2 linked regions of the Daphnia pulex genome follow. The protein of the gene in region 1 binds, or shares a complex with, the protein of each later gene. Links are inferred from orthologs where the notes say so. Each region holds a gene or a part of one and is shown on either strand. Other genes may lie near its edges.

What was found. Proteins that work in one complex are often made in the same cells at the same time.
Region 2: DNA polymerase delta catalytic subunit-like (region 1) and DNA polymerase delta subunit 2-like share a complex: the UniProt entries of both Homo sapiens proteins name them as parts of the tetrameric DNA polymerase delta complex. The link is inferred for Daphnia pulex from reciprocal best matches to the Homo sapiens genes POLD1 and POLD2.

The regions. Positions count from the first base shown.
Region 1 is NC_060019.1:7,339,069-7,343,716, reverse strand, and holds the end of DNA polymerase delta catalytic subunit-like, read right to left. Parts: coding exon 4,558-4,648; intron 4,468-4,557; coding exon 4,231-4,467; intron 4,170-4,230; coding exon 4,004-4,169; intron 3,941-4,003; coding exon 3,383-3,940; intron 3,315-3,382; coding exon 3,142-3,314; intron 3,075-3,141; coding exon 2,937-3,074; intron 2,862-2,936; coding exon 2,771-2,861; intron 2,686-2,770; coding exon 2,527-2,685; intron 2,463-2,526; coding exon 2,327-2,462; intron 2,267-2,326; coding exon 2,140-2,266; intron 2,075-2,139; coding exon 1,937-2,074; intron 1,869-1,936; coding exon 1,778-1,868; 3' UTR 1,703-1,777; downstream 1-1,702. Other genes in the region: mitotic spindle assembly checkpoint protein MAD1-like, read right to left, coding at 1-72, 141-557, 619-1,083, 1,150-1,209. UniProt on the Homo sapiens protein: As the catalytic component of the trimeric (Pol-delta3 complex) and tetrameric DNA polymerase delta complexes (Pol-delta4 complex), plays a crucial role in high fidelity genome replication, including in lagging strand synthesis, and repair.
Region 2 is NC_060018.1:6,862,962-6,868,807, forward strand, and holds DNA polymerase delta subunit 2-like, read right to left. Parts: upstream 3,215-5,846; 5' UTR 3,156-3,214; coding exon 2,993-3,155; intron 2,927-2,992; coding exon 2,877-2,926; intron 2,807-2,876; coding exon 2,735-2,806; intron 2,654-2,734; coding exon 2,409-2,653; intron 2,343-2,408; coding exon 2,194-2,342; intron 2,127-2,193; coding exon 1,999-2,126; intron 1,915-1,998; coding exon 1,527-1,914; intron 1,459-1,526; coding exon 1,319-1,458; 3' UTR 1,211-1,318; downstream 1-1,210. Other genes in the region: NADH-cytochrome b5 reductase 3-like, read right to left, coding at 69-294, 643-660; differentially expressed in FDCP 8 homolog, read left to right, coding at 3,443-3,860, 3,923-4,087, 4,182-4,423, 4,490-4,621, 4,689-4,778, 4,840-5,016; brain protein I3-like, read right to left, coding at 5,370-5,498, 5,568-5,689, 5,768-5,831. UniProt on the Homo sapiens protein: Accessory component of both the DNA polymerase delta complex and the DNA polymerase zeta complex.

The DNA.
Region 1 (4,648 bases):
CAGCAGTTCATTTGCAGCTGTTTCTCGATATAATTTATTGGTCTCTTGCAGCTGCAGAAGCTCTTTTTCTAACTGAAATTAAAAAATGGAAGAATATTAAGTTTTTTTGTTTGTTTCATAAACTGCAATTAAGCACACACCTGGGGAATTCTAGATAGTTTTGCTTCTTGAGATTGAGAAAAAGTTGTTCTCTGAGCAAAAAGTGCATTCTGCATTTCAAATATTACTTGACTCTGCTGCTCAATAACAACCTGATGGTTGGATGATGGGCTCACCACTCTTTCTTTAAGTTTAAGTTGATTTTTCGCTTCCTCTGCTTCCATTTGATATTGACTTACTTTCAATAGAGCATTTTCCAATTTGAGTTCTAACTTCTTGATTTTTTCTTCATACCCTTGTTCAATATCAATGATTTTCTGTTCTGATACAGCAAGTTCCTTACTACATGATAGCTTTTCCTCCGCAGAAAGTAACTTAATTTGCTCAACTGCTTCTGTTTTCAATAGATTTTCTTTAGACAATTGTTCATTTTTTAGATGAAGTTGCTTGATTTCCACCTAAACAAAATCTGTTATTTCTAGTTTAAATAAGTCAATGAATTTTTTTTAGTAAACTTACATAAAGATCATCAATTTTATCTTCATAATGTTTAACTTTGGTCTTGCATGTCTCTTTCAAATTTGACAGGTCATGCTCGAGTTGATCCTTGGCTGTCACAAAATTATTCAATTTCATTTCTGTCTTGATAATTTTCTGCTGCAATTCAAGAATGTTGGCCTGTTTTTCTGATAATTTCTGTTCATACTGGGCTCCAACATCTAGCTTTGTTGACTTATTAAGTGATTGGCTGAACGATTCAGCTGCATTTCTTTTAGAAAAAAGAGAAGATTCTCCTGTAAAAGAACTTTCTCCAGTAACACTAGAATCAAAGCGAATTTTCTTGGGAAGAAAAGAATCCAACGTAGAAGTCCGCAAGGATGAGGTAGAGACAGCCATGCTTGCAGGTTTCCTCTTCATACTTAAAAACTCCATATTAAGAGGACTTCCACCTTCTTGGTTTAATTCATTGAAATATCTCTGAACCTACCAAAGAAAAAAGAATGAGTATTTAAAGAAATGCTTAATAAGTATTTGTTATGAACATTTTACCTGATGTCGGAGGACAGTCGAATCTAAGTCATCGACCACATTTCTAGAGGAGTTTTCCATTTTTTTTATATGAAGTCAGTATGCTTAGTGGAAGGACGTAATTGGTAATTAACAAATTAAAATCTGTTTATCTGATCACAAATTAGAGACGTCAAGTCGGTCAACTTTTAAAAAATGTAGTAGTGTTCAAACTCAGCGTCGCCGTCGTCTGTAAACTGTAACTAAATCAAGAGATGCTATATGGAATCCCTACTTGGTGGGAACGGAGTTCGGAAAACCGCAAAAAGAATGTCGTTCAGTTTCCGCAATTTACTTCTTTTTTTTTTTTTTTAAATTTGGATTTATGCTTGGCAGATGGTGATTAGGATATTTATAAGTTAAGTATGTAACACAATATAAAAGGAATTTATCACTGAACCGAAATATCTAAATTTTCGTCCAAAATATTTTGTAACAGTGCAGTTTTTTATTCTGAGCCGAATTTTTTAGCTTGCCTGAAAATTTTTGTTCGTTTAACCGGCTTAACACTTAAATGAATGAATCGAAATAAACGTTTTCTTTATAAATTTTATTGTTTCGAATTTAATTTACAGCCAAAAACATTCGACTTCGACAGATTAGACGAGAACTAAGGTTGGCCAAACCTTTTCATAAGTTTTTCTTGTTCACAAAGGTCCTTTTGAACTTTCTTGCGCATGTAAAAGATGGGGCAATCCCGACTAAGTTTAAAAATTAATCAATTAAAACATGAGTCTCAATTCAAATACACAACACAAATACAACTTACTTTGAACAGAGAACCTCCTCGTTAAGGCTACCTTGACAACGCTGGCACTCAGTCCAAAGACGGTTGAATTTTTCTTCAAGAGCGTAAAGTTGACCAACTTCTCTCTGATAAAATTCCGACTCTTTCGGCTTACAAAATCTGTTTAATTTTATTATTAGGATATTGAAATTTAATAAAAGGCGAAAAATTATTATGATTATTACTTGCAAACGGCACTGTCATTTGGAAGGACAGTCTTACATCCAATACAAGTTGATTTGCGGGAAGTAAACTTCGCCAGCCCACCTACTTTTGAGGTGATAACTGAACGTGTTCGAGTATGGTCGCCATCTAAACAAATAAATAGGTTATATGCGCTACATGTATTCACACAATGTTGTGTCTGTTTACGTAATAACGAAGATTCCGCTTTGGATCCAAGGATTGGTTCGAAAATTCGGACAAGAGGTTTCGAAAGTTGATTTTCTAAATAGTATTGTGCATCTATGGGTATGCTGTTTTCCAGAACATAAATAGGATCTTCAGCCTAAAATAACAGTAAACAATTAACAGATTCACGAAAAATTTCAAAGGAGCTGAAAAATGTGTACTTTGAGATAGGCTGGAGTGTTTTTCGCGGCGGCAATAATGACGTAAGGGACTCGATCACCTAATTTTGGAGCAGTACCAGCGTCTCGTTTACGCATTTTGTGAGCTAATTCCACGTGTGCCTGTTTGTTAGCGTAGTCCTTATCCGTCTTGGTCAGCTCCTACAACCCCAACACGATAGACTTAACAGTTTTAAAACATCCTCGGAACGTGACAATCATATTTTTATTTTCTCTTAGTAGTTACCTTAGTAATTACTAGGAGTGAAATGTCGACCTTGTTGCAAAGCAAGTCCGAAATTGTTTGTTTTGCGTACTCCAAGGCTCCATCTGGATCTCTATTATTTTTTTGTTAAAATAAAGGAAAAGTATACTTTATATTAGGATATCCATGAAGCGTGACAACTGTTTACCGATCCATCAGGATTTTCTGAAGACAGGTGTTGATAAGGTTAGCGACTAGCTGACAGTTGTCTCGTCGAACTGTTTCAATACCTTTGCAATCCATCTTGTCAAACTGTTCAGGTTTGGTCCAGTACAGTCCTGCGTACCTATAAATAAGTAGGAAGCCGTTATAAAATCGTTTCTGCAATTAGTACATTTGAAAGCAGAATTTACCTCTTTTTGTTGATTAATAAATAGGGGAAATAAACTTTTTCGAATTCCAAATTAATGGGCTTGATGAACTTAGCCGATACAAATTCGGCTGCTTCCCGACCTAAAACCATCGCTTCTGCTACCGTAGATACACCGAACTTCACCATCACAGAATCTGTGTCACCGTAAATTACCTACAAAATGTTCAGATTCAATTGAAACCGATAAATGTGTTTGCATTGTGCAATTCTTTTTCGTTTACCTTGGCATCATGAGCATAGCCATTCTCAACGCGAAACTTGGCTTCCACTTCCGTACTAGTTTTCTCAATCATCATTCGGCCGAACGCTGTTACACTTTGCGAAATTTCTAGACACGGTAATTTTCCGACTTGAGCGCCAGTGAAACCATAAACACTGTTGGCTGAAATCTTTAAGGCGAGCTGGCGACCGTCAAGAACCTTCTTTCTTAGAGGATCTGTCTCCACAGCCAAATCCTTCTTGGCTTTTTTCCTGGCCGCCAACAGTGCTTCCAAAATCTCCGGTAAGAGTCCTTTCCGCACGGAGGCCTTTACAAAGTAGTTGCCTGCAGGTGTTTTGATATATTGGTCCTCTTTCAGCTTATCCTTGTCACGCGGATTCAACAAGGAAGTATAGCACAAGTTGTGGGCCATCATAATGGAAGGATACAGCGAAGAAAAATCCAATGTAGCGATGGGTTGACTGTAGTAACCTCGAATAGGTTCGATAACTGTCGCACCTTCAAATTCCTCTCCCGCCTCTGCTTTATGGACGGGCATCAATAAGCCCTGTTCCTTGGCCTATTCAAAGTGCAAAAGTTTTGTAAGGATTTTCTAAAATATTTATAGCTTAAGTTTCCTTACTTTTCTTAACAACTGTGAGACAACTTTGATCTGTTGGCCACGAGTTAATAGGTAGGATAGGGGTACGCCTGTTACACGAGCCATTTCCATGTAGTTAGTCAAGCACATGAGCTTGTCTAGCAGGCGAAGTGGTAGATGGGCATCTTTAAGGCAGTAAACCGCAAGTCTGTAAGACTCAAAGAAATGTTGAAGACATAAAAAGTATACAAGTTATTTGAACTGAATACCGTCGACGAGTTTGCGGATTGCCTTCTTGCAATTCCGTGATAATTGAATGATGGACGTCTTCCTTTTGCTCGCATAAAAAGTGGTAGCTGACCGAATTGAGAGTGTAGGAACGAAGTTTGTAATCACGTAGCAATACTAGAAGAAGATCAAACTGGACACGGCCTTCAATGTTGATGCTTTTGTTTTCCCTGCGCCCCATTTGCTTACTCTGAATCATCGTTTCTTTAATAGCCGATCTAATAGCATTGTAATTTTTAATTAATTATTATTATTTGATTAATTATTAATCGAATTATTTTTGTATGTATTTGCTCGGTGTGGCTCACTTTTTATCTTTAATGCGTCCAAGGAAATCAAATTTGCCACGCTTCAAGTGTTTTGCGCGATTGAGTAAATACGGCAGATCAAAATTACAGA
Region 2 (5,846 bases), on another chromosome or scaffold:
GTTAATAAAGGGTTAATTACAAAAAAAAAAAAACAATTTCTTCATCACCAGTTGATTATTGCTATTACCAAGAACATGTTGTGGAGAAGGGAGGGCAAACCTGAATCTCCTGGTGTCATGGTTGATTACATGGCGTTCAATCAATTTTAAAGGATATTTTGTTTGAGGATCAAGTAGTGTCTTTAATTCCTTCTGTTTGGCAGATTTTTCTTTTGGTTGGAGCCAGTTGAAATATAACTTTGCAGCAACAGCAGTAAAAACCACAATACCAATGCCAGTGACAATAGGTAAGCTCTACATCAAATATTTACAAAATTTTATCAATTAAAATTATATTTAGAGCTCTACAAATATGCAAAAGATTTTTAATCCAAAAAGTAGTAGCCTAGCATAATAGTGAAAGAGTAGTTAATAGCTACATCAAATTTTAATTGTGAAATTGGGTCCACATTAAAGATAGTCACAATTCAATAATAACAATATATATGTTTAAATAAATAAGCATGTTGCAAACGCGTCGTCAAATGCAATAATTGACATTTTTTTTACTTGAATCAAAAATGAGTTCATCATTACTTTTGGAATACCTAGATGTAGTCTTAAAGTTTTTTAAGGATTATTTGGTTGAAAAATTATAAATACCTTTCCAAGGGCGTCCATTTCAGAGAAAGGTAAGTTCTTAATTCACTACCTTTGATTTCTAGGGTGATGAAGTATTCTGGGTTTTTCTATCACGTAGCACGTATGTTGGGTCGATAAGGAGAAAGTTTGACTTAGAAATTTGGTCAGAGTCCTCAGACTCAGAGATGAGCAGAAGTAGTAGTGAACTTCAAAATGAGCAACGTTGCCTTTCGAGATTATAAAATATGTTAAATCGGACTGTGAATCTGTGATACCATGCCGGCATGCCTCATTCGCTCATTGACTCAAATTCTGAATAGTTTTTCCTCTTGCATGTAGGCCTACCGTCGTTGTGCGTTGGTGCGTATACCGGATCGTCCACGATTTCCTGAAATTCAATACACATATTAATATCTTACATCTAAACGTTAGACTAAACTCAACTATAACTGTTATTTTTTAACTTTTTTTAGTTTTTTCACAAACACTTAAAATAAACAGAGTTTAAATTACATTGTGATGGAGTTTTGTGATTTTTTTACAAATCAATGAATAAAGTTACTATTAAATATTTAAAATACTTTATTACCAAGTTTATTTTTACTCCGAAAGAATTGCCAATCATTCAAAAACGTGATCTGCATAAACATGAAAATCTTGAATAATGCTTAGTTAACTAGTATTGAAAGCTAATCCTTCAATGATCGACGCCAGAATCTTCATCGGTTCCAAAACTCAGCGTGAAGCATTCCAAAGTATTCGCGTCAACAATTACAATGGTTCCCGATTCTGAAAACCTTGGCAATGAAATAAGCCGGACAGGGTGACCATCAGCGCCTGTAAAATTAGGAGATTGATACGTTAAAGATACCCTAGAAATAATGTGTTATTTGCTGAAAACATACTTTTCCACAAACGATCACCAAATGATTCCTGATTTCCAGCGAAATAAATATCAGGACAAGTGTTAAAAATGAAAGGATCGTCGTCATCGTATGGATAACAACCTAAAGTATCTGGGGCAGTCGGACACATGTGTCTCCATTCTAAAGTTTTTTCCATGGCGTCTAACGGATGCTCTAGAGAAGAGTTCATCAGGATATCCAAAACAGGTTGCCCAGAGTTTCCCATGACTATGCGACCTCCAATTCGGCAATTATATGGATTGCTAACTGCATGGAATGTAGATAACTGATAACTTTGCGGAAGCAGACAGTGGTGTAATGGCTGTTGAGGAAGGACAAAATTAGCTGGATCATGGGCTCCGGGCATTACATCCACGGTTATGGAACTCTGCAGTTATCATAAATGACGACATAAATGAAGATCTTTTAACAACTTTATAAATTTATTTTATAATATTCGGTTCTTACGTACTGCTAATTGGAAAATGATGTCATCCAACTGTTGAACAGCTTCAATGCTAGCTACCATATTATTGCGCATCAGATATTTTGCTTTGTCCAAAATATGGCGATCTTGAGTTGCAGAACTTAACGAGTTCCCTAATAAAAAGAAAAATAGAACTGAATTGAAATAATAGGAGTTCAGGAATTAATTCATTTGTTTTACCTGCAATGATTAATCTTGAAACTTTAGACATTATTTCTTGAACTTCCGGAGTCCCAGTTTTCCCCATCAATGTGAAAATCATTTCTTGCATCAGTAAATATGAGTCATTACCACTTCCTAAATCTAAGCCAGATATTAAGGCAATGAATCTAAAAAGTAATAAAACTCAGATTAGTAACATGATAAAACATAGCTGTTGATTTTAAGATTGGCACCTAGGTGTGCTGAAGTCAATTTTGGGGGAGTTCACTACCACAGGCATGTCAGCAGGACAGATATCCTCAACAATAAACTTTCCTGAATCATCTTCATGGCCAAGCAATGCAATAACAACCCCAGTGACAAATTCCCCTACATTTGTGTTGCCAACAAGCAAAATGCGTTGCAATTCATCTTCCAATATTAGAATATCAGTTCCTGAAACATATCTTGCTTTGGGAGGTAGTGGTAATACTTGATGCTGAAATACAGAGTAATTATGATATACAGTTATACACTAATGAAGTCATGAAAATGTAGATGGTAATTTAAACCTTATTACCTCATCACTGACTTCTCTTAAAATACTTGGTTTTAGTTCTTGCTGTTTATAGATGGTCCCAAACACAAAAACCTTAGATTTATAAAGATTATGTTATGAAATTCCCATGAAAATTTTATGAGAAGAAAAATGAATACAACACCTTTTCATTGGGAACTAGGTCAACAAGCTTCTTGATGGGATATTGCTTACCTTAACAAGACAAAGTAATGAATTCAGTTATTGGTTACACAGCTCATTGTGGAATTTGACTCTTACCCCATTTCTTTTCAACGCGTTCCTCAAGTAAAGTTCGAAATTTCGTAAGCCTGACGGCATATATACCGGCATATTGCCTATTGAAATCACGATTGACCAACTTAAACGTACTTGACAAGTCCTCATAGTCCAGTTCTTTGCGTTCATAACGAACAGCCTCCATTCTTTCTCTAATCGAATACAGAACCCGCCAAAAGTACTAAGACAGCAGACAACAAAAACAACACGAGAGGGTGCGCTACTGCACGATTTAAAAAAAAGCGAACAACAATAAATGCGAACTCACAGCGTTGCATTGTTTACTTACTCAGCAGTCAGCACAGCAGAAGAAATTAAGGATACAAAAGATTAGTGTCAGTTGTCCCGCAAAAAAAAAAAAACGAACGAACAAACAAACAAAAAAGCATTTGTATGCAATGGTGATTCGTGTCTTTTCAGGTTTGTGTTGAAATGTCTGTCAGTGACACCTCCAAAAAGAGTGATTCAAACGGAGACGAATCTGGTAGCTTGCATTGTCTTCCAGTGGATGAAAATTATTATTCCTCGCAACACGAAGAAGTATGGAATATGGAAAAGACCATTGACATTCAGCTAGCTATCGATACTTGTAAAGAAAAAATTCTTGCGTTGGAGGAAATATCTGAAGAAAAACGCCTATTAGTACAGAGATTAGTTAAGCTGAGACTTAGACTTCAAGAAGTACAAGAACTTGAAATATACATGGATCCTAAGAAAATGAAGGTGGTGCAAAGCCACAAGTTTGTTTGTCAAACTGTAACACAGTTGAAATTTCATCCATCCCAAATATATTGTGAAACATGTTCTGGCCTTATTTGGATACCAGTTCAAAGTTGCTTTGTTTGTTTAGGTATTTTTCTATGATGTTGGAGTTCATGCTCAAGATTTAATATTTTTTTATTTAATTTTTAGAATGTGATTACATATCTCATGGACAATGTCTGAATAGTGTCAAACGAATATGCGCTTCTGTTAAAGTTAAAGAAAATCCTTGCTACGTTCTAGAAATTTGTCCAGAGAAAAGTTTAAGAAATCAAAATTATCGTTGTGCTGAATGCAAAGCGGGAATATCCTTCAGTAAGTAAATCCTTAAATCGTATACCTAGATTATTTTCGAAGTTAAGTTTATTCTAGTCTCACTACATCTGTTATCATTTTTATTGGGTTGTAGACACTGCCCTTACTCAACCCCTCTTATGTGATTATTCTGGTAATTACTTCTGCAGTGAATGTCATTGGGGAAGTTTAAGTGTAATTCCTTCAAGGGTAGTGTTGAATTGGGACTTTCATGAATATCCAGTTTCTAAAGGATCAAAACAATACTTAAATTTAATGATGAAGAAATCAATTATCAATTTAGAAACCATCAACCCCAAGCTATTTAGTTTTGTAGAAGAACTAGCTTATGTCAAGGTAAATTTAATATGTTGAGTAAAATCTGTATTTCAAAGAAAAAATTGAGACATTTTATTTTTTTAGCGTTTAAGAAGCGATTTTATGATCATGAAGGAATACATCCTAACATGCAAAGATGCGTTGGAAGCTAAATTACTTCGGCTTTTAGAAGATCGTCAACATTATGTAGAAAATTCTGATTACTATAGTATTCAAGTAAGTAAAACCAAAGCAACAATTCTAGTACTCGAAATTCATACAAATCTTCTTCATATTTTAATAGGATCTTATGGACATTGACAAAAAAGATTTGATATCCTACCTTGAACCTATACACAATCAATTTTTAATGCATATTACGCAAGATTGTGTGGTATTTTATTTTATTTTACAACTAACAATTCCTACTTGTGTTTAAAACTTTCATTAATTAGGGATGTCGGGGTAAAGGTCATGTATGTCGATTATGTGGTCAACTTCCGGAACTCTTCCCCTTCGAAATTTCTGCGACGCAGTGTGAGGGCTGTTACAGCGTTTATCACCGACATTGTGCCAACAAAAGAGATGTTGTTTGCCCCAAGTGTGGAAGAGTTAATCATACAATTAAATGAACATTTTGGTTTGTTATCTGTTGTTTCACATATTGTAGATTAAAATTATGAAAACCAAAATAATTATTTGTTTAAGAGTATCATAAAATTTTTAAATTCTGTCAAAATATATGAACAAAACAAAGAGAATTATTCATGTACGTGTAATTTTTTATTGTCCATTTAAAAATGAAATTAATAGCATTTCATATTACAGAGGCACTTTTCACATAGGGTATTTGGAATATTGTTTACAATCAGATAAAACGCGACAATTTTGGATTTCACAAATTCTATGATTATTCAAAAAAATCCCAATTGAATTAGAGTTGGTCAAGAATAGGTGATTAGTTTAATAAATTTATATGACTGATTCAAAAAACTGCTCCACAATTAAGACAACGCCTTTGGCGTAGAGCTAAACAACACAGGATACCAATAGGGAAGAAGAGAATGCAACACAGTAGCCCCAGAAAAGTAAATTCATCATCTAGGACACCAACCTAAATGATGGAAACCAAAATAATTAAATAATTTTTTTTTGTATGGCAAATATTAGATTAATAAAATACTCTGCATGCAGGACAGCCTCCAACTAGAAAAATGGTTGAGGAGGGATTAGGAGTGATTATGACTGTGGTTGCTCCAGAACCATGACCTCCATGACCTCCAGTAGAACCATATGTTTGTGAACCTATAACAATTTGTCGAATACGTCAATTTCATTATTAGTCTAGGTATTACATGTATCAGAAATATTTTTGACACTTGCTAGAAATTGGCTGTTGAACGAATGGGGTATAGGCCGGAGGTGGATCATCAAAATTTGCGTTCATTTTACAGGCTTATGT